3 linked regions of the Arabidopsis thaliana genome follow. The main gene of each other region encodes a partner of the protein of the gene in region 2 in a complex. Each region holds a gene or a part of one and is shown on either strand. Other genes may lie near its edges.

Evidence for each region.
Region 1: AT3G52860 (region 2) and AT5G02850 share a complex: the UniProt entries of both Arabidopsis thaliana proteins name them as parts of the mediator complex.
Region 3: AT3G52860 (region 2) and AT3G09180 share a complex: the UniProt entries of both Arabidopsis thaliana proteins name them as parts of the mediator complex.

What each region holds. Positions count from the first base shown.
Region 1 is NC_003076.8:648,181-656,044, forward strand, and holds AT5G02850 (hydroxyproline-rich glycoprotein family protein), read left to right. Parts: upstream 1-3,867; 5' UTR 3,868-3,978; coding exon 3,979-5,259; 3' UTR 5,260-5,583; downstream 5,584-7,864. Other genes in the region: AT5G02830 (Tetratricopeptide repeat (TPR)-like superfamily protein), read right to left, coding at 1-241; LCL1 (LHY/CCA1-like 1), read left to right, coding at 614-807, 1,424-1,481, 1,575-1,698, 1,782-1,940, 2,050-2,175, 2,254-2,363, 2,681-2,740, 2,982-3,032; AT5G02860 (Pentatricopeptide repeat (PPR) superfamily protein), read left to right, coding at 5,922-7,864. UniProt on the Arabidopsis thaliana protein: Component of the Mediator complex, a coactivator involved in the regulated transcription of nearly all RNA polymerase II-dependent genes.
Region 2 is NC_003074.8:19,588,811-19,596,053, forward strand, and holds AT3G52860 (mediator of RNA polymerase II transcription subunit-like protein), read right to left. Parts: upstream 3,959-7,243; 5' UTR 3,932-3,958; coding exon 3,712-3,931; exon of another isoform or gene 3,522-3,711; coding exon 3,406-3,521; intron 3,323-3,405; coding exon 3,188-3,322; 3' UTR 3,038-3,187; downstream 1-3,037. Other genes in the region: VSR1 (vacuolar sorting receptor homolog 1), read left to right, coding at 1-268, 541-629, 749-818, 912-995, 1,170-1,246, 1,346-1,427, 1,849-1,931, 2,023-2,089 and 3 more; AT3G52870 (IQ calmodulin-binding motif family protein), read right to left, coding at 4,555-4,995, 5,102-5,203, 5,332-5,424, 5,522-5,668, 5,755-5,842, 5,961-6,049, 6,145-6,210, 6,422-6,536 and 1 more. UniProt on the Arabidopsis thaliana protein: Component of the Mediator complex, a coactivator involved in the regulated transcription of nearly all RNA polymerase II-dependent genes.
Region 3 is NC_003074.8:2,815,250-2,823,706, forward strand, and holds AT3G09180 (mediator of RNA polymerase II transcription subunit), read left to right. Parts: upstream 1-3,844; 5' UTR 3,845-4,028; coding exon 4,029-4,302; intron 4,303-4,396; coding exon 4,397-4,562; intron 4,563-4,734; coding exon 4,735-5,185; intron 5,186-5,275; coding exon 5,276-5,335; intron 5,336-5,418; coding exon 5,419-5,487; intron 5,488-5,580; coding exon 5,581-5,624; coding exon of another isoform or gene 5,625-5,643; exon of another isoform or gene 5,644-5,702; coding exon 5,703-5,847; 3' UTR 5,848-6,176; downstream 6,177-8,457. Other genes in the region: AT3G09190 (Concanavalin A-like lectin family protein), read right to left, coding at 6,401-7,438; AT3G09200 (Ribosomal protein L10 family protein), read right to left, coding at 8,115-8,261, 8,352-8,457. UniProt on the Arabidopsis thaliana protein: Component of the Mediator complex, a coactivator involved in the regulated transcription of nearly all RNA polymerase II-dependent genes.

The sequences.
Region 1 (7,864 bases), on a different chromosome or scaffold from region 2:
GCGAGCCATCTGGAATCCATCTTACGACATTGGAGAAGTGGCTAGAGAGAGAATGAGTCGCGGAGACTGAAGCAGGAGAAGGTGAATGTTGCTGCGGTAGTGACGGAAGTAGCTTGGTGAAAGAAGAATTGGATTTAGTTTTCCGGTTGGACTCTGGTGCTGTGGCGTAACAGCGACGGTGGTGATGGTGAGGATTGGTTATGGCGGAGGAGGAGCCAAAGACAATAACAAAGTCTCTCATTCCTCGCCAACGGTTAGGATCATCATCGTATCATCATTGTGGCTCAGTTTTTCTGGTTTTCTAATTTCATGTAAATCAAATGGATTGGATTTGAAAGGCTATTTTTACAACTTCCACACCGGACCGGATTTGTAGTGTTAAAATACACCGGTATATATAAACCGATTTGGTACTTTGATTTTAAATTTTAAGAAATAAAATAAGAAAAAGGAGAAAAATGGATGGCCTGAAATTGCAAGCGAAGCGTCTCCACATATTATACACCAACTTCTTGCCCGCCATGTGGATATCGTCGTCATTTCTCTCTCTAACCCCTTCTCTCTTCAGTCTCTCTCTCTCTAGACGATCTCTATCTTGAATAAAATACCGATAATGACCTCAACCAATCCGGTGGTCGCCGAAGTAATACCGGCGGAAACTTCTACAGATGCTACAGAGACGACGATTGCAACGACGGAAGCTGGTGAAGCACCGGAGAAGAAGGTGAGGAAAGCTTACACAATCACCAAGTCTAGAGAGAGTTGGACTGAAGGAGAACACGACAAGTTTCTGGAAGCTCTTCAATTGTAATTTTACCGCGCTCTTTTTTTCTTCCACCAGCTATTTGATTGACTGATTCTTTGTGTTTCGAGCTCTAATTTATAGCTGAATTTTGCGTAATTTCGCGTAATTTCTACTTAATTTGCTTAATCAGATCGAAGTTTGGTTATGTGGTAGATCATCTGGAGTTTTGCGTATGCAATTGGATTTTGCAGAAGCAACAATGTCTTCTTTGATTTGTTAGGTTGGATTGTATATTCGATAGATCAGAATTTATATTAATCGCTGATGAATGTTTCTTCTCATAAAACCGAAGTATGGTTTAAGCTTATCTTAGGTTGCCAAAATGATTGAGTAGAGGACTTGGCATCTGGTTTCTGCATAAATAGTGGTATTTTGCAGAAGTCGTATCTTTCTTTATTAAAAATGTTTAACATGAGAACTGAAAAAACTTACTACAAGTCAGCTTTTAGAGCTATGCATGAAACCAATTTCCAACTACAGTCCTAAACTACAATTCAGATTTTGGTAATGGTTCGTTACTTCCACATATTACATTGCTCTTTTGTGTGTGTGAAAGGCTTCTCTCTCTTTTAGAAAAAAGAATCTTACTTTGTCCTGACAATTTTCTCGTGTCCTTAGGTTTGATCGTGACTGGAAAAAGATAGAAGATTTTGTTGGTTCAAAGACAGTTATTCAGGTTTGAGATCAGCTTCTTTGGATTTTTGGTTTAATATACAACCTTGGCACATTTCCCCACTCAATCATCCTGTGCCTGTTTGATTTACTGCAGATCAGGAGCCATGCCCAAAAATACTTTCTAAAGGTCCAAAAAAATGGGACTTTAGCACATGTTCCACCCCCTAGGCCTAAGCGCAAAGCTGCTCATCCATATCCTCAAAAGGCATCGAAAAATGGTTAGTTCTATTGTAATAGATATTACTTTGGGTTGACAGATGGAGTAACATGTAATCAATCTGATTTCAACTCAAATCTGCAGCTCAAATGTCGCTTCACGTTTCCATGTCCTTTCCTACTCAAATAAATAACCTGCCTGGATATACTCCATGGGATGATGATACATCTGCATTGTTAAACATTGCTGTAAGTGGGGTTATTCCACCAGAAGATGAACTTGATACTCTTTGTGGAGCAGAAGGCATGCGTTCTCATCTGTACTCAGTTTTTATATTTTGCTTTGGTAGTCTAGTCACTCTATCTTCTGAAGTTTTCATATGCTAAATGCGGCTTACATATCATTGTTTCAGTTGATGTTGGATCAAATGACATGATAAGTGAAACTAGTCCTTCAGCATCTGGTATCGGAAGCTCAAGCAGAACACTATCAGATTCTAAGGGTTTGAGACTGGCGAAACAAGCTCCCTCAATGCATGGTAATTATCTGAACAATTGAGGGACTATTTCTTAGTTTTCATTTTGTGGTGGACGCTGTTGTAATGGTTGCTTTGCAGGTCTTCCTGATTTTGCTGAGGTTTATAACTTCATTGGGAGTGTGTTCGATCCTGACAGCAAAGGCCGCATGAAAAAGCTCAAGGAAATGGATCCTATAAATTTCGAAACTGTGAGTTGGAGCTTTACTTGCCTTTAGATTAACTGATATGTGTGTTGCAGCATATCAATCATTTAGTCTTCTTCTTTGAGTTCCCGAATAAATTCAGCTGTGTGAGAAGATAAATATAAAGATCAGTACTTGCAATATATAGATTCACGAGTTGGAAACACCAAAAAGCCAAAGTACCATGATTCTATGGAGATGTTGGTCAAATAATGGGATTGTTACAACCATGAGTCAGTTTTAGGTGTCATGGTACCTATTTGTAGCTGTCAGTGATTGTTCTTTTTCCTAGTATCCGTCACTAATCACAGTTTTTCTTGCAGGTTTTGCTGTTGATGAGAAACCTCACAGTGAACTTGTCAAACCCTGACTTTGAACCTACTGTAAGTTATAATTTTATCATTACTTCTGTGCTCGTTGAGTATGTGAGGCACATTTGTCTTTTCGTGATAAGAATGAGTGAGAAAAAGTCTCTAACAGCTAACAAACCTACTTACTATCTGCCTTGAAGTTTAACTATAGAAATTAAGACTAGTTCGCCTTTAGTGTGTTATGTTTTTAACCGTTCCAATGATTAAATGAGGATTGTTGTGCTCTATGAGATATAATCTAACCATAATTTAGTCTGAATATGTTGATGCTGCAGAGGAAGGTCATGAACACTTAAGCTCTTAGCTGTTTGTGCACTCAACAAGTTATATATCTTCTTGACGACTTCTTGCTCGCAACAACTCTCTACCAGCTATCAAGTAAGTTTGGTGTTATACCGCATCCCTCCGACACCAATATAAAACACTATAATAAGAACGTTCGCATTGACTTAATAGATTATATCGAAACCTAACACCACAGTTCACTAAGGTTTTCACCTTAATGTTTCTCATTTGTTACTGTAGTTATTGTCTCACATGATCGAACGTCATAATAAGAATGATCTGTAGATCATAACTGTTATATTCTCAGCGTTGCTGCTATTATTCTGATTACACTACCCTTAAGGTCTTAAGAATATTGCTCTTACGGTCTACCAAATTGCTATTGATCTCTGTATATGGTGGATTGTGTCAGATGCATTCTACGGTTGTTGTCTGAGGAGAACATAACTGAGTCGTCGTCACAAACAAGAGGAACATATGCAGTTTCGGTCAGAACCAGTCGTGTGAATGGTAGATATATGTATGTGTGTGTAGAAAATGGTTACCAATTGTATCTTCTTTTTGATAATTATTTTTTCATGCCTTTTGTAATATGTAAGTTTCTTTACCTCGTTCTCTGATTGGTTATTTTCTGGTTATCTGTTTAACCAAAAGCTATGTAACACAGTAGCAAATTGTTACTTAACTCGGAAGTGAGATACATAACTCTGTTGTATTGCACTTGTATCAAGCGTTAACGTCCATGATTCGTCTCTGTTATTGTCAATAACAATTGTTCGAAAGCCAGGTTAATGGTAATTAGGAAATTGAACCGTATCGGTATGGTTTTAGCGGGTCTTTAGACTTTTCTAATTGATACTGAGGGTTTGCGAATTTTGTATAAACAGTTGAACACTAAACAGAGAAGAGAAGCTTCGTCTCTTTAATTATCTTCGATTTAAGAGATTCTTTCGCCGTCGGCGAAGATGCTACAGCATCAGATCGTACAATCTCCGGCGAGATTAGGGTTAACAGGTCCTGGCTCTCCTTCCGTACAAAATCCGACGCCTACTCGTCATGGCCATCCAACCTCTTCTTCATCTTCCCAATCTCAGCACCAACAGATCCAACAACAGCCTAATCTACTTCCTTCCTCCACCGTCGCCGCCGCTTCCTCAGCCTCAGCTTCGGCGGCTGTTTCATCCTCCGCCTTGCTATCGCTCCTTCCTCCATTACCGCGAGCTCAAGCTCTTCTCCAGCAGATGGCGGTTTTGACATCTAAGCTCTTCGACGTCTCTCCCAATCGAGCTATCTGGCTCTCAGCTTTCCGTGGCTCTCTCCCTTCGTTCCTCTCCTCACACTCGTTACCACCTCCGCCGCCGCTTGAAAACCCTAGTCCTTCATCCACGAAGGAGATCCTCTCTCAATTCAATTCCCTCCAGACTCAGCTCTTCGAAGCCGTTACAGAGCTTCAAGAGATCCTCGATCTGCAAGACGCGAAGCAGAAGGTGGCGCGTGAGATCAAATCCAAAGATTCATCTCTTCTCGCTTTCGCTAACAAACTCAAGGATGCAGAACGTGTTCTCGATATGCTTGTTGACGACTACTCCGATTACCGCAAACCAAAACGAAGCAAAATTGAAGAAGATGACGAAGACAATGATAATGAGTCTTCTTCTTCTTCAACCACAGTTTCGTCTCAGCTCAAGTTAAAGGACATATTAGCTTACGCTCACAAGATTAGCTACACCACATTTGCTCCGCCGGAATTCGGTGCAGGGCAAGCACCTCTCCGTGGTGCATTACCACCAGCTCCACAAGACGAACAAATGAGAGCTTCCCAGCTCTACACTTTCGCTGATCTTGATATCGGTCTGCCGAAAACAGTAGAAAACATGGAGAAGAAGGTTGAAGCACTGATTGAGCCACCACCACCACCAGAAGCTATGGATATATCTGCTATTCACAACCTGCTTCCGCCGAATATCGCAGTTCCTTCAGGATGGAAACCAGGAATGCCAGTCGAATTGCCTAGAGATTTACCATTGCCACCTCCTGGATGGAAACCAGGCGACCCAGTTGTGTTACCGCCACTGGAGTCAATTGCTGCACCTAGAGCAGAGGATCATCAACATATGAGACCTTCTCAGGGACTCCACAGACCGCCTGATGTCATACAGGTCCGAGCTGTTCAACTTGACATTTTGGAGGATGATGATAGCAGTGATTACAGCAGCGATGATGCAAGCTCAGATGATGAGGATTAATCAACATTGTGATTGATGGTTCTCTGTAAGGTAATGATTTGACCAATGTTACTGCTAATTCTTGATCAAGTTTGATTTTCTACTTGGTTTCGTTTTGTTTAGCAGTGCCTTTATGTGGATAGATGTTAGTATATGCTTCATCGTTATCAGTATCTTTGATGTATCAAAGTTGTTTCTTACGAAAACCCTGGATTCTAATTCAGTTTACAGAATTATTGGTTATCTTTTTTCCAGAATCATTCTTTAGCTTCAAATTTCAAATTATTAGTAAAATTCAGAATGTTCAACTATTGGAGTTATGCAACTTGACATTTTGGATCGATCTCTCTATACGACAAAGTAAAATCCCTCTTAGGTCATACATACATATCAGAGGCTCTTTCTGCCCATTTCTTTATTGTACAGTTTATTGTTCCATTTGGGCTTCTAATAATATAATGGGTTGACAAAATAAGTAGTAGCCCATTTAGATCTAACCTGTTGAATCTGGACTAGCCACGTGGTCGAATATAATTGTAGGGAAATAAAACTAAAATTGTGTTCTTGGAACAAAAAAATATAATAAAAAAAATCTGACAAAAATATCCATTCATTTCTCTTCTTCTTTCACTCTCGGTTGCCTCCTGGTTCTTTTCTAGTTTCTACTACTACTACTACCTCTAATGGCGGACAAGCTAGCTCTTCCTCTTCTCCTTCCCTGCACTCCTTCCTCTAAACCTTATTCTCACGACCAAAACCACCATATCTCTCGGACGCCTTTTCTTACTACGTCTCTTTCGTCACCACCTCCTCCGCCTGTAGAGCCTCTCCTCCACGATGTTTTCCTTCACCAGAACCCTAATTCCAGACAACCCATCAGCTCTCAAACATCTAGAAACCGTAACCGGACTCGAATTGGCAAGTCACGTGACCCTAACCTCGGTAAACCTTGGTCTTACCATGGTCTTTCTCCACAAGGTCAGCAAGTTCTTCGTTCCCTCATCGAACCCAATTTTGATTCCGGTCAATTAGATTCTGTACTCTCTGAGCTATTCGAGCCTTTTAAGGATAAACCAGAGTCTACCTCGTCGGAGTTACTAGCTTTTCTTAAAGGATTAGGATTTCATAAGAAATTCGATTTGGCTCTGCGTGCTTTTGATTGGTTTATGAAGCAAAAGGATTATCAATCCATGTTGGATAACTCTGTTGTTGCTATAATCATCAGTATGCTAGGTAAAGAAGGCAGAGTATCTTCCGCTGCAAATATGTTCAATGGTTTGCAGGAAGACGGGTTTTCGCTTGATGTCTACTCTTATACTTCGTTGATATCAGCGTTTGCTAATAGCGGAAGGTATAGGGAAGCTGTAAATGTGTTCAAGAAGATGGAGGAAGATGGTTGTAAACCGACTTTGATAACGTATAATGTTATCTTGAATGTGTTTGGGAAAATGGGTACTCCTTGGAATAAGATTACGTCTCTTGTTGAGAAGATGAAGAGTGATGGGATTGCTCCGGATGCGTATACTTACAACACTCTTATAACTTGTTGTAAACGAGGCTCTTTGCATCAGGAAGCTGCTCAGGTTTTTGAAGAAATGAAGGCTGCTGGGTTTAGTTATGATAAGGTTACTTATAATGCGTTATTAGATGTTTATGGAAAGTCTCATCGGCCTAAGGAAGCTATGAAGGTTTTGAATGAAATGGTGCTCAATGGATTTTCTCCGAGCATTGTGACTTACAACTCCTTGATCTCTGCATATGCGAGGGATGGTATGCTGGATGAGGCAATGGAGCTTAAAAATCAGATGGCGGAAAAGGGAACGAAACCTGATGTTTTTACTTATACAACACTTTTGTCAGGGTTTGAGAGGGCTGGGAAGGTCGAATCTGCTATGAGTATTTTTGAAGAGATGAGAAATGCAGGGTGCAAACCAAATATTTGTACTTTTAATGCCTTTATAAAGATGTATGGTAACAGGGGAAAGTTTACTGAAATGATGAAGATATTTGACGAGATCAATGTGTGTGGTCTCTCCCCCGACATTGTCACTTGGAATACACTATTAGCAGTCTTTGGCCAAAACGGGATGGATTCAGAAGTATCGGGTGTATTCAAGGAAATGAAGAGAGCTGGGTTCGTACCCGAAAGGGAAACTTTCAACACCCTAATCAGTGCGTATAGCCGCTGTGGTTCGTTTGAACAAGCTATGACTGTTTACAGACGAATGCTTGATGCTGGGGTCACTCCTGACCTTTCCACCTATAACACTGTGTTGGCAGCTTTGGCCCGTGGAGGAATGTGGGAACAATCTGAAAAAGTTCTTGCAGAGATGGAGGATGGTCGGTGCAAACCAAATGAATTAACTTACTGCTCTCTACTTCATGCATATGCAAATGGCAAGGAGATTGGTCTGATGCATTCTCTAGCAGAAGAGGTTTATTCTGGAGTTATCGAGCCTCGAGCTGTGCTTTTGAAGACCCTTGTCTTGGTTTGTAGTAAGTGTGATCTTTTGCCAGAGGCTGAACGTGCATTCTCTGAGCTCAAAGAAAGAGGGTTTTCACCAGACATAACCACATTAAATTCCATGGTCTCCATATATGGAAGAAGGCAGATGGTGGCAAAGGC
Region 2 (7,243 bases):
GCGTTTACGTTGAGTAAACAGTGTAAGTCTCAGTGCATCAACCATGGAAGGTATTGTGCGCCTGATCCTGAGCAGGATTTTACGAAAGGGTATGATGGAAAGGATGTTGTTGTTCAGAATCTACGTCAGGCTTGTGTCTACAGAGTGATGAATGATACCGGTAAGCCGTGGGTCTGGTGGGACTATGTGACTGACTTTGCTATCCGGTGTCCAATGAAGGAGAAGAAGTACACCAAGGAATGCGCAGATGGAATTATTAAGTCCCTTGGTGAGTATAATGCTTCATTACTTCGATGGTATTTGCTCCTGTGGTATCATTTAATTAACATATTACCTGTGGCTAGAAATTAGTCTAGAAACTGAATAGTATTTTCAGATATCAGCTCATCCATAATATAGAACAACCAATTGATTGATTTAAATGAGCTTACCTTGTATGGCCTTCTTGAATCCTTATATTCACCAAGTGGATATTTTGTTACTTTCAAATTTGTGCATTTCATCCTAAATTTTCTGACTATCAGCTATATATGCATTCAGGCATTGATCTCAAAAAGGTGGACAAGTGTATCGGAGACCCTGAAGCAGATGTGGAGAACCCAGTTCTTAAAGCAGAGCAGGAGTCACAGGTTTGCCTTTTTGTAACTAATTGGCTCTTACACGTCTTCCCAAGATCTTGTTGGTTTTAAGTTGCCATATATTCTCCATTCCTCGAGGTGTTCTTAAAATGAGTCTACTTCAATTTCAGATAGGCAAAGGTTCCCGTGGAGACGTGACTATACTCCCAACTCTTGTCGTGAACAACAGACAATACAGAGGTATTGGGGAAATGTTGACTTGTCAGTTTTTCCTCCCTTTCTACAGCATCTTTCTTATGTTTTTGCTAATTGAATTATCTTTCATGCTTTTAGGTAAATTGGAAAAGGGGGCAGTGCTTAAGGCTATGTGTTCGGGTTTTCAAGAGTCAACGGAACCAGCTATCTGTCTTACTGAAGGTACTATTATCCACGACATTTGCAACTCTATTTTTTTTAACAGAAACCACAGTTCTCTTGATAGGCCAATATATATTTTCAAAACTTGCATTAGAGCTATCCTTAATTCTTTATCTATTGTTTTATATCATGGGAGAGAAGGATAGTTTTCAGACATGCTTCTGATTTTTGCAGATTTGGAAACTAATGAATGTTTGGAAAACAACGGTGGATGCTGGCAAGACAAAGCTGCCAACATTACTGCATGCAGGGTATCATTTGGGCATGCTATTCTTTTCATTTTCTAACTTTTGGTTTTGTTGTTGCTACTATGACTGATTACTCTTATTTGGTATGAATCGGCATTTTAGGATACTTTTAGGGGAAGATTGTGTGAGTGCCCTACTGTTCAAGGTGTTAAATTCGTTGGTGACGGTTACACTCACTGCAAAGGTAAATTATTTTTTATTTGTGTAGCTTAACATGTTTTGTGTGGAACAAGATACAGAACAATGCCATACCCTCTGCTTAGCTTCTGTATTCCACAAGTATTTGTTACTGGTAGTCAAACAATACTCTGATTTGTCCCTTGTCGATATTTTCTTGGAATCAACTTAGATGGTCTATTTGTTGATTTGTACCACCTGCGAGTATAATATCAAGATTGATAAATAAAATTGTCACAATCATTGATTAAATTTTACTTTGAAAAAGTTTACACTTGAAGAAATTCGTTGATGTGACTGAGTGGAAACATTCTAATGTTTTTTATGCAGTTCTACTGAATTTTCCCCTTTGCGTATATCATAAGTTGTCTTACTATAATCTTTGTTAATGTGCATTTTCTGTATCCATATGTTATTTCACTTGGCAGCCTCTGGAGCTTTGCATTGTGGTATCAACAATGGAGGATGCTGGAGAGAATCCCGAGGTGGCTTCACTTACTCTGCTTGCGTAGTAAGTATTTCGCTTCTATGTCAATGTGTTTGAACAATCATCTTCTTAACCTAAAATAAAACTTCTTTCGTTCTTGAAATGGATTTTTCAGGATGATCATTCAAAGGATTGCAAATGCCCACTTGGGTTCAAGGGCGATGGAGTGAAGAACTGTGAAGGTACTTGCTAAGTATTATTTACAAAATATATGCATGTGGTCTACTTGCATATATAAAGAGCTCTATGTCGATTTATTTAGTAGGCATCACTAGTAACATGCTATTAGCCTATTGTTTATATGCATGCATGTCGGTCTAGAATATTTAGTGCAGATACACAATTATCAGTGGAATTTTTTATTGTACTCAATCAAAGAAGTGAGATCATTGTTAAACGTCAAATTCAAATTCATAATCATATTCTTTTGATTGAATGTGTTAGATGTGGACGAGTGCAAAGAAAAAACGGTGTGCCAGTGCCCAGAGTGTAAATGTAAAAACACTTGGGGAAGTTATGAATGCAGCTGCAGCAACGGTTTGCTTTACATGCGTGAGCACGACACTTGCATAGGTAAAAGAAATAGATCTTCCTTCCTCCTAGCCCCATACTTAATTTGGAGTCATTAATCAGACTTTCTGCTTTTGAATCTGGTGAATGTGTAGGTTCAGGCAAAGTTGGAACCACAAAACTCAGCTGGAGCTTTTTGTGGATCCTTATAATCGGGGTGGGTGTTGCAGGTCTTTCTGGATATGCAGTCTACAAATACAGAATCAGGGTATACGATGTTCTTTACTCTGGTCTTGTTATCATATTAAAACATAGGAAGATTTTGCGGTCTAGATAGAGATGCTAAGTAACAATTGAAATTATGCAGAGTTACATGGATGCGGAAATTAGAGGGATCATGGCACAGTACATGCCATTGGAAAGTCAACCACCCAACACAAGTGGTCACCATATGGATATATGAGTGAAGTTATCAACACAAGCCAAGAGACTCTCTCTCTTTCTATGAGTAGCTTTAAGTTTCCATGTAAATGAATCAATGGACTTGATACAACTCTAGAGAAAAGAAAAAAGCCACAAACAGAAATAAGTGTACCTGCACTATTTGTAAGAAATGTGGATTTGCAGATGGAATCTCCTTTTTGTCTGCATATTACTCTTACAATGTAAAATAGACATAACTGGATGAATAATGAGTGTTACATTATTTACTGTTGAAACTAACTTAAGATCCATAAGAAGAAAAACAATAAACTTTGATTGAGAGATTGTTAAACTTTCTCCAGCTCATCTCTGTGTTTCTCAATCTGTTCTTTCACAAGCTTCTGCGACTCTTGGAAAAGCCTCATGTGCTTCTTTATAAGCTCATCTTTTGTCTTAAGCTCTTCCTCCATTACTGCAATATCCTGTTAAGAACAGAACAGAAGAGAGCAGAAACTGGTAAGACAATATGTGTTTGGAGTTTTCACATTGGTAAATCAAACCACACCTTCTTAAGGCTTTCAGCTCTCGAGGGCGCGCGATCTTCTCGCTTTAGTCCCATGAAGTAAAGCTGAAGCTTTTTCGCAGCTTCCATGAAATCTCTGGCGTGCCGCTCCACATCAACTGCAGCAGTTCAATGAGGGGAATTAAGCTAGAACATCGAATATGGAATCAAAGCTTCGGTTTCAACTGAATTCTAAGCACAAAATTCACTGAGATCATAAGTTAAGCACAAAAACAAACACAACTTCCAAACTATCATTCAAACTAAAACCCTAGAATGGTGAAATTGGAGAGTAGAAAAGGGACTGACTTTGATGAGAAGGGTGAGGAGAGCGATCGATGGCCTGAAGCTCTCTCGCCGGCAAACATGGTAACAGAGCAGCTTCCAAGGCTGTGACGCAAGCCATAATGTCCTCTATGTCATTATTCTGATTGTTCGAGGGGGTCTCCGGTGATCTGATTCCCGGTGGACGGTCAGGCGGTGACGGCGAAGGGTCAGAAGACTGCGGCGGCTTTTGCTGATAATCCATTCACGCCGATCTCGATCTCTCTTTCTCTCTGCTTGTTTGTTTGCCCATAAGGTTTAGTGAAAAATATTATAATGGGGGCCCATTTACTGGATTTAATTTGGGCTTATTGGGCCTTTTCCACATTCTTAATTGTTCTTAAGAATATCATTTTGATGTAATTAATTGAAAACACTGAAAATTCATTTTTAATAAATATATGAAGTAAATCATTTATTTCATATGAAAAAACAATAGTAAGGAGAAGGAACAACATTTTCTGATACTTTACTCTTGATTTGATGTCACAAGATATAACAGATGATGGCTTTTGTAACAAATTTTGATTCCTTATGTAACTTTTTATCTCCATCAAATTAGATAAGTTACATCCTTACTTAAAGATTTTTTAGCTATGGATTTTCTAATGAAATTTGTAAAATGAGTAAGCGATTGACTAAATACTGTAACCATTCTCTTCATTATCAGTGAAAATAGCTTTTAACACATCTCTCATTCTCTTCCTTCTGATTCACAATCATCCATGTGAAAAGATGACAACAAAAACCTTAGATAGAGAACTCACACATTAGTTACAGAAGAAAGATTCTCATTTACTACTACATAAGGAAGTACGGAACATATGATCAGACATCAAGCTTCCCGGTCGGAGAAAGTCTGCTACTCCGGTATTTAGGAGACAAGTTAACAAACTCCAAAGCCTGTGTTCTGAGCTGAACCGGATAATCAGCTGCACAACCGATTCTTGGACCAACTCCTGTCGACCATTTCAGTGACAACTGATGTCCCAATTGTAATGATCTTGACTGTTTCTTTGAGTTTATCCTTAGTAGCATAGATTTCTGCGGCACGTTAGCTTTTGGACTCCCAAGTCCACCTGAGAGTGTTCTCTGGTAGCTACTCCGTTTTGCCTCCTCAAGTGTTCCCACTGTTCCGTTACCGTTCTCATCTGTTTCAGTCTCTGCTTGGAATGTTGTGTCCTCTTTCTTTAACGGTTCCGGTTCAGATCCTCCGTTGGATTTAACATAATCATCGTAGCTGTCAGAATCTTCACTAGCTTTATGCACCTACACATACATAGATATATTAGCTCTCAAGTAGTCTCTTTTTCTAAACAACCAAACTCTAGTTAATGATATCATTCACCAGCCAAGATTAGAACAAGGGCATTACCTCAACATTGTCTAGGTTCACTGCGTTCTCTCTGAGAAACCCGAGAAATGTGTCGAGACTATCGTCTGACGGCCTGTAATGTCCGCTATATGCAGAGATTGTCTGAGATTAAACCGAAAACAGAACGATCAAACAGAGAAATCACAGAAGGCAGACATAATAAAAAAGTTGATATGAATGAACATGTATCTCAACCACTCTAAGAAAAGGACGTGGCCTTAGTAAGTTACCTTGAGAACTCCATTGTCAACAATCACCCTCCCAGCAGCTAATGTAGCTCCTCCAGCCAAAAAGCTTGAGTGATGGAACCTTCCTTTCTTTTTCTGAAGTAAACATAAACAAAGAAAAGAACCATTAGAATCTTTTTCAATACTAATATCAATTCATCACCAATAGAAAGATATAACGGTTTTAACTTACCAGACCGGCATAGAGTTTCTTGAAAGTACTCATAACAAAGATCCATTTTGTTCCTTCCGATCCATGCATTGTGTGTAAGAACTTTCCAGTTAACTTGTGAACAATCTTCCCTTCTATGATCACATACTCATACTCTTCCCTCTCTTGCTGATACCAGAAAAGGCTTATATGAGAGAAATCCCAAAAACAAGTAAAACCAATATTGACATAAGAGAGGAAAAAATGGCACATACAGGTCCAAGATATCTAATGCATTGCTGCTTAAGCTTTGACCTCGGACATTCGTTAAGATCCAAATCTATCCCTCCTCCAACATCCAACCTGCCAAAAAAAAAAAACCCGGATATATCACAAAGTTATAGATAAGAATTATCACCTAAAAAAGATTCTTGAGCTACAAGAAAACACTAACTAAATGAACCTAAGATTTTAAGCATACCAGTAAAAGAATGGCTGACCAGCATCAGCTTTACACCATTCTTCATAGTATTTATGCAGGTTGTGTCCATACCGGTGTCTAGGATCAATCTGATTTTCAAATTTTCATATTATTAGTCTTCTTTTTACATTTAATCAGAATATAACACAAACAAATATTGAAATTTGTGGAAGAAAGGAATTACAGCTTCAATCCAATGCTGAAAGGCCAATTTCTGAGCTTTGTCGACTATAGACAGACCCTTCCCCACCTAAACCCATAACCAAACCACAAGATTACAAAACCAATAACCAAGTGGAGATCTTTTTCTTACAATAATATATATTTTGAGATATTTACATATACTTTTTTCTGAATTTTAATCAAAAGAAGACTCATTAGGGAAAATAAATAAATCACAAAGTTCAACTAGAAATTTTGTGAAAATATGTTTTTGATATTTTTGTGAAAAAAAGGCATACCTTAGAAGCATTCAAGCTAACACGGTTCCATCTAGAAACAGCAGTTTCAGGTCTCGAGTAATCGAAAAACGAAATCGTACTATGATTAAGCCTCGCATAATCCATCGCTTGCCACCTTTTGTTTTTTACCATCATTAATTTAACACGTTAATGACTCTAAAACATAATCTCTCCATTTAAATATCTAATTACAGTGTTTTAGTTGAAAAGGTTATAAATAATTACCAGAGCTCTTCGGCGACAACGACAGAGTCTGCTAATCTACGCCGCGTACGATAACTCCTGTAGACCTTCTGTACTTTCACCGCCGCCAATCTAGTCGAGTCATCACACGCGCCTTCAAGCGCGTCACCGTGTGAGGATAACTCTCGGTGGTCTACCGGAGAAATGAGAATCTCTCCGGCGCCGTGTGAGAACGGCGAAGACTGAAAATCGAAGCTCGAGACTACCTGCATCTTCTCCGACCAAAGAGAGGACTTGAATCTTAGTGTCTGAAGAAGAAACTAAACTCAGAGAAAATGGAGGATTTGTGAGTATTGAGAGAGAAGAAGAAGAAGAAGATCCAAAAGTGTTTGTTCTGCTATCAGTGTTGTGTCATCTCTGTATGTATTTTTTATATATAGAAAATAAATGGCCCATTTCTTTATATATCCGAATTACTTCTTTATTTTCTAATTTTGTTTCTTTTTCTCATTTTGACAAAGTTCTTTTTTAATTCTGTTTTCCTAAATAGACAGGTAAGATTGCGATTTTATTTTTGATTGTGATTATTGGAGTATAGTATTAATATACATGTCACTGATTTATTCTGCTAATAAATCT
Region 3 (8,457 bases), about 17 Mb from region 2:
TGAATTGGCCTGTCCCTTATCCGGTTGCTGGACCGCAACACAGAAACTTTGCTGGGGAATGTCTTCTTCTTCCCTCTTGGAGGCAACCTGCTTCTGTTATCGTTGATTTCTTGCGTTAGTCCCAACGAAAAATTCGGCTCCACAATGTCTACTTCATCATCCAATTTCTCAGTTGGTGAAACATACTGCAAGGCATATAAACATGTACATAGTTCAGCGGAGCAACAACATATAACGTTACATTTACATAAATGGGAACTCTTACTGTTTTGGGTTCATGCACGGCCTCTTTGTTTTCAAGCTGCCAATAACCAATAGCGAAAGTAAGTGGGTTTGCTGCAACATAAAGTATGTATATTGTAACTCAAAACCAGAAATAAATATAATTACCTTTGTGCTCGCCACATGCTCCATATCTTTCGCTCGCTTCAGTGGCCTATTAGATTGTGCATCCATTTGAGAACAAGATTTTTTCTTTCCTCCTTTCTGAATAGAATCTTCTTCTCTTACCTAAGAGGCATCAAAAATATATGTCATTCTTACCGAATACACACAAATGCGTCATAATCTTCACTGTATTCTCACCTCCATTCTAGTGTTAGGGTTGCTGCGTTCTGGAACAGACACTCCAACGTTTATGCCGCACGCAGCCGGCAAGTTGTCACTTCCTTCACTTAACCCAATATTAGGTTCAACCTGTTGGGAAACTCCATGCTTATTTCCTGGCTGGTCAGCTCTTATTTGGTCCTGATGCATCAACAGAAAATTGTTGTTTAATGTGAAGCTGTCCATATACATCAAATAGCACCTACTAGTGCAATACTTGAAGTCTCAACAAGCAAATTGAGGTGCTTAACCTGTTTAGAGTGGGCATCAGCAACACATTTGCTGCATTCTCCAACAATTCCAGCCTGTCTATTTAGCCCACTCACAGCTTCCCTAACCGATTCAGTAAGTATTGCAACCAATTCTTTCTTCTGCTTAACCAGTTCAGCCTCAAAGTATGACTTCAATTCATCGTTGTTTGATTGTTGAATCTTGAGAACACGTTTCTCAAACTCATCAGCTACCTCTTTGATGACTGCCTCTCTAAGACCATGTCCAGCAGAGCCACTATCATTGTTTTCCATCTCGCCAGCTCTTGGGACTTCCTGCTGCAACCCTTCTCCATCCGCAAAACTGACACCATCTTTATCTGTCACCGGTCCATCCTTATTCGCCTCACCATCCAATCCGTCTACACCTTCTCCGGCTGCACACTCTTCCCTCTCTTCTGCAGCAACACCAGAACCATCAACATCCATCTCATCGTCACCATCCCCCTTAGCCTGATTCACACAGTCATCAGCCATGAACTCATCTTCAGATGGATGTTCAACATCATTAGCATCAACACCACCACTCCAACTGTTATGCTCGAATGGGTGTTCCTCCATTATCAATGATAGCAGATGCGAAACTTCTTCATCATCCTCCTCATCTGAGAAAGATAAGTCGATCTCTTTCGCCAGGAGCTCTTCATTCAGCAGTGAGGTTACCCGGTCCTAAAAGTTAAGAGTCAATAGAATAGATAAGTCAAGTACACAATCTTTCTACACCAAATACAAAGAACAAGCTTTACAACAATAGAATTACCATGCCACTTTGGTCGATAGTTCGTGCATCATGCACATTGATGTTCAAACTCAGCCCCAATACATACTGAACCAGCTTCTCGACTGGAATGGTTGGGTCTAGAATGTTAAACACCGAGTCTGCCGTGTATATAATAGCTGGACAACATGCCACTGTCACAAGAACTAAGGCATGAGGAAACCCTTGTATAGCTGTGGTATCTTGTGCAAGCTCCTTGGCTGTTCTTTGCTTGGCGCTTCGAATAGTCGCGAGAAACGAAGTTCTACCCCAAGGATATTTAAGAAAGGATTCTACATCTTTTACCATCTCTACATGGTCAGGATCGATGATAGTTCGCGAACATGTCGGGCAAAGAATCCCATCAACTAGTAGCAGCAACGATAGGCGAAATCGAGTCAACGGGTCTTTGTATTTCTTCCCCATAGATAGCTTCCCAACAATCCATTGTGAAGTAGGCTTTCTCTCTTTCCCAAATAATGCCTTGTAGAACCTCGTAGGATTCTGAACCGCTTTCATTTTCCCTCTTGTCCTTGCATCCTTTTTGTTGAATCCAGATTTGCTGCAGTTAAGCCCGGTAACAAGTGCAAAATCATCAATGGCAAATCGAATTGGCTTCCCTGCAAACACCCACCACATTTCATACTTCTTATCTGTCACCAACTGCCTAGATAGAATGTAATGTAAGAACATTACAGAAAACTGATGCGTCCCCATTTGCAACAGAAATCCAAACTGCGAACCCTCCAGCTGCTTCAAATGGTTTTGATCTAGAGCAGCCTTGATGATCTCAATCCACCTAAGAGTAAAGTAATTGTTTATCCTCTTTCGGCCCTCAGGTTCAGAACCTAGCCGAAACAAACGCTTTGGCAACTCTACATCCCCCATGGAACAGATACACTGAAATACAAATGTCCACGTATCACTTTTTTGATGCTGCTACTTACACAAATACAAAATATATAAATCTTAGATGTAAATATATGTTATTAACAGACTCAACCAATATAGCCTCAGCTTTCCGTTACTATCAACAACAACAAATGGATTACATAGAAGTTGAGTTAAATATTAAACCTTCATAACACCAATTAGTGGAATATCGGATTAACCAGCAAAGATTCACTAACTAAAGCTACTCAAATCCGAGTTTATGCTATTCAATACTGCAAATAAAACTAAAAATGTCATTAACACATACAACCAATTTGAGTAGCTTCCGTTACTATCAACAAACACAAATGGATTACATTGAAGTAGAGTTAAATCCTAAACCTTCATAACAATTACAAATGAATATCGTATTAACCAAGCAGATTCCCTACCTAAAGCTACTCAAATCCGAGTTTATGCTATTCAAGCTCTTCAACACAAATTAAAAAGATTTTCCCAAAAGCCAAAAAATGGCATTTCATACCTTAATTTGGCTGAATCCCTTCGCCGACACCAATTGCCACAGAAATTCGAGTGTTACAGTGGAGACGACGGAGATATAAACACCTCTACTCCCGTACAACAAAACTCACTCAAGTACTCTCAACGGAATCAAAAACCCTCGATTGAGAAAAGAGCCAACATAAGTGTTGTACGAAACTCGGATGCTTAGATAGGCTCCTCCTCCAATTGCAGAAGATTTATGCAGTCCGATTGCCAGAAATCGAAGCCTCCACAGTCCCCAAATCGAAACCCACAAATTCAATCTTCGTAAACTCTAGAATCGTCACTCGGATTGCACACGCAGTCTGCTCTTCGAAACTTTCCCGGGTGTCGCTTTTTAAAGCCCAGAATTTTCAGATTTTCTTACTGTAACTTCTCTGAATGTTCACCTCTATTTGAATTTTTACAGAGTAATACATAGAAGTTATCGATTGAAAACTCAGAAGAAGAAGAATAAGCGCGTGTGCTCACGCACGGGTTAAGTTTGTCAATATTGCATAAAGTTCAATACATATTGGTTGAAGTGTTAGTTTTGCAATTATAATTTTTTTGTTGGCTATATTTGCAAATTTCCCATTTTTTTACATGTACAAACTAAAAAAAAAAAAATATTAAAGTGAACAAACTGTACATATGGGCTAAAAACTAAAAGTCCCACAAACATTGAGATTACAAAATACATTTTCAGTCCAACATGAGCCATAAAGCATTGCTTAATGGAGTAAAACTCAATTTAACAGAGTGGAATAAATTAAACAAAATAAGACGTGAAGGAGCAGAAGCAAGCATATCAACAAAAACGCCTTTGAAACGCAAACGCTACAAAATTGCGTCTGGCGTTACAGTAGATTGAGATTTGAACGTGAAATTCTCCGAGTCCAGAAACATTCCTCTCCTTCCGTCGTCGTCAAGAAGATCAATTTCATTGAAATCGAAAGAGTGTGCTTGAATCACAGCTTATGCAGACGCTACACCAGTCCCAACTTCTCCAGAATCCGGCCGAGGCGGCGAACAATCAGTCTGAATCGGACGCGCCGCCGAAACAGGTGGCTCAGGCCATGGAACGACTCAATCAAGCGGCTAGGGTTATCGCCGATATCCGCCTCGGCGCTGACCGTATCCTTGAAGCTATGTTCGTGGCTTCGCAACCTCGTCACACAGACATGCCTCTTCAGCTCTTTCTCAGAGAAGACGCCTCCATGCGTCAACATCTTCAGGATCTTCGCTTAATAGGTGCTGAACCAAAACTGAATCATTTTCATTAGTATTGATTGATTCTCTAGATTAGGGCTTTTAAGGATCGATCAATGTTTATTGCTTGGTTCAGGGAAGAAATTGGAAGAATCTGGAGTGTTAACTGAATCACTTAGGTCAAGAAGTAACTCTTGGGGTCTTCACATGCCTTTGGTTTGTCCAGATGGTGCAGTCGTTGCTTATGCTTGGAAAAGACAGCTTGCTGGCCAAGCTGGTGCTTCTGCTGTTGATAGAACCAGGTATCAGATTCGTTGCTAATCATTTTAAAGCATACTTAGGGTTTAGGTTCGAGTCTGCATATTAGGGCTGTTAGTGAAGCTTGGTGGTACCAACTTGGAGTTTCATCAGCTAACCAATTCTACTGAATCTCATGCATTCTCCATTTTCTCGCGTTGTGTATAATGACTGTAGGTTAGCTCTCAAGGCCTTCACGGATCAGAAAAGACGATTCTTCCCTCATATTGATGATGGATTAAAGATGGAACCAAGCTCAAAAAAACATCGTGCCTCCCATTTGCTATTAGAAAATGGAAGAGAGGAGCCGGTTGATTACAAAACATTGCCAGATATACAATCGCGTTTAGAGAAGCTGGTTCCGAGTGTGAAGGTGTCTACTTATGGACGATTGAACTGGCTTAAAAGAGCTAACTCTTTACCTGGGTCAGGTAGTGATGATCCTACAGAAGCATCGAAACCTATTTTCCAGAGTTCTAGCAAGCTGAGATCAGGGTTACAGACTGAAGTTGTCGACAAGATTGCTGTTATTGAGTTATCATTTCCTTCTCTATTCAGAGCTATAGTCTCGTTGAGTCCAGCGGGTTCTGTTGATCCAGATGCAGTTGCTTTCTTCTCCCCAGATGAGGTCACTTCCAACCTCCTTGCATTAAAATATACTGATTCTCATGTGAAATTGTTTAAGTTCTCATGTTTTAGCTTCATCCCTTTCTTACAGGGAGGCAGCTACTTACATGCGAGAGGCTTCTCGGTTTATCATGTTTACAAACACATAACGGTAATAAAGATGCGATTGATATTATATATAGTTTAACAAATTTGATTCATTGGGGACTTGCATTAATTAGATTTTTCTTGCAGGAACATGCTGCTACAGCCTTGCAATATTTCCTCGGCTTTGGTACTGGAACAGCTCTCTACTCTCTTCTGGTAAAGCATTTTACAAGCACACTTCAGTCTCTGGATAACATGAACCTTTTTTGTCTGGAAGTTAATTAACACCTTTCTCTTCTTCTTATGCAGCTATGGATATGCAGTTTTGAATCCGTATTTAGCAAACCTTGCACGTATGCAGACTCTCCGTAATTCTTCTAATACATTTGTTTCCCGTGGACTAACTTTTCATTTCTCTTCTGATGATGCAGTAAATGTGGAAGGCTATTAGCAATGGATAAAAAGTCTGCGTTAATCTTACCTCCTTTACACCGCGCTTACCAAGAATTGCCTCTTGCATTAAACCTGGACGTTTGTGAAGCTTACCACTCCAGTTGCTCTCAAGATGATACCTAGTACTCTAGTGATTAGGGAGGATCAATTAAAAGAAAGGTTAGAAATAAGTTCTAATAACATTTTGTATGGATCTTTAGTATCTGCTCTTCTCCTTGATATACCTCTTGTTTGTTGTTGATGTCCCATGTTGAGGTTTAGATTAACTTTCTTTCTTTCTACTCTCTGGTAACATGTGAATGTTGTCTTCTTTCTAGAGATTTGATCTTTGTTCACGAGATGACTGAACAGAGACCTTTTTTTTTAACTCGGTTCACATTACTCTGTTGCAGTCAGCATCAAAGTGAGAAAAAGACAGTGGGTGTTGATTTTTGCTTCCGATCCAGAAATATAAAACATGTTAAATGCAAGATCAATAAATTAAGTTATTTTGCAAGATCAAATAAGCTTACGGCTTCTTTCATAGAGATTGTACATGTGAAACCTGCAACTAACGAAGCAAATAAAAGAAAACACTAAATAAAGATAACACCAGAGGAAGTGGAAGAAGGTACTACATTTACACTACAACAAGACAACCTTCTTAAACCAAAGCCAAAGCCAAACAAACTTCTCATTACTTCTTGCCATCTTTAACTGCAACGACCACAATGCTCACTGCACATTCCTCTGGAACCACGGCCATTGACCGCCTAACACTGCAAATAGTCCAAAGATACATAGCTGACATTGCCCCTACGGCTCCACATACTGCAGCCAAGACCAGAGCACCAAGCATTCTCCATATACACTCACTATTTTCTCGGCCCTCTTCCATTTCCGTGGAAACGTCCGGCTTCAAACCTTCATTTGGTCCTAATGGCGCTGGTTGCACCCATATCGGATCAAGATGCCATATTTCAAAGCTCCATGAATGGAGAAAATGTGGCTTGGAAGAGTTCCCATTAGCAGAGCTTAAACCCACCATGACTTCACCACCTTTCCAAAGCTTCTCCAAGTCTACCGAGAAAGAGAAGAACGGATCAAACATCTTTATCGAACCACGTTTTCTGAAACGAACCCTCATTCTCTTAGAACTTGCCTCATAATCAATCATACAGCTCAAAATCCCTCCATCATCCATCATCAAGTCACCCACAAACGAAAGGTTTCTAATTTTGGCAGACTCAGGTCTACCAATTAAGACTCTTGCACGGTTTCCTCTCTTGGAGATATCAAACTCAAAAGCAACAACTGTCTCGTTCTTTGCATACTCTAATAGAAACCCTAAAGCAGAGGAACTGTAATCTTTCTTACCAAACAGACTAAGATCCAAAGTACTTGGAACCATTACAAAAGCCAAGACATCACCAATCTCATTGGGCATCGAAAACGAGAAGTAAGTCGAGAAAATAACGGAGTTCCTCTCTTTACCTTGGAATAGATTGATGGGTTTCTTGTAAAAGACTCGTCCCTCGGTCCGATTCACTGAGTCAGTCAGCTGAATCGAAGAACTGTCATTGACCAGCTTCGAATCTCCAAACAGAGCAACACTCTTGTCAAAACTCTGAGATTTTACGAATTCATCAAATGAAAACGTGAAATCCACACCTGCGGTTCCATGTATCTCAAAGCATAAAAGGACCAGAAAAGATAGGGTTTTGAATATCGCCATAGCTATACTGAGACTAAAATTGGTTCTCTCTGATTTAATGACTACAGAGACGAGCTCTTCTCTCTCTCTTACTCACTCACTCACTCTTCTCCTTCTAAAAATGGAATTTCTAGGATTTGAGAATGACTTCCATTTTTTCAAGAAGTATTTAAGTTTGTTGTTTTGTGTGGAACTATGCGAAGAAAGCAGAGGAAGAAGTTAAATATCATCAACACATGCAGAGAGATTGATTCGTTCTCAGTCCCACTCACTTTCTCCCTCGTAGTGGTTGCTGACTAAGGTTAATGCCGTTTCTGATTTGTATCTCAGTTTTATTACATTCTATCATGTTTAGCCTCATTTACTTTTAGAATATGACATTTGTGCCTACTTTCTAAGAAATAAAATGACTCAACTTGTAGATCTAAGAAGATTCTGCTTCATACAAATTTTATCAAAGTCATGTATAAGAAGCTCTTAACTTTCTCGACGGATAGATAAATTGCAAATTCATCGTCCAGACATTATTGAAAAATATTAAAGCAACCATAAGAAAACGAAATCTTTCCAAAAAATAAAAGACAGTAGTAACATAAAACTGGATTGGCTAAAACCAAGAAAATTGAGGTCCAACATACTAAAAACAAAGCAACACTTATAATCCACGACAAAAAGGTAAGATCTTAACCGACAAAATCTACTCTTCATCGAACAAACCGAAATCACCTCCATAGTCTTCTTCGTCGGACTCTTCCTTCTCCTCTACCTTAGCAGCAGCTGGGGCACCACCACCTGCATCAGCAGACACCGCAGCTACTGAAGCAACAGCAAACTTGCTTGGATCCTGCATTCCAGAGAGTTAACATAAACAAAATCAGTACTCCAAACTTCCGAAATAAAATGAAAAAGATGCACAGTTTTAATGCATACTAACCTTCAAGTATTCCTTGACCTTCTCTGCTTGAGGGAAGGTGTACTCAGTGGCAACAGCAATAGCCAAGGCATTCTTGTACGCATTGATGAACATATGCGGTGCAGCA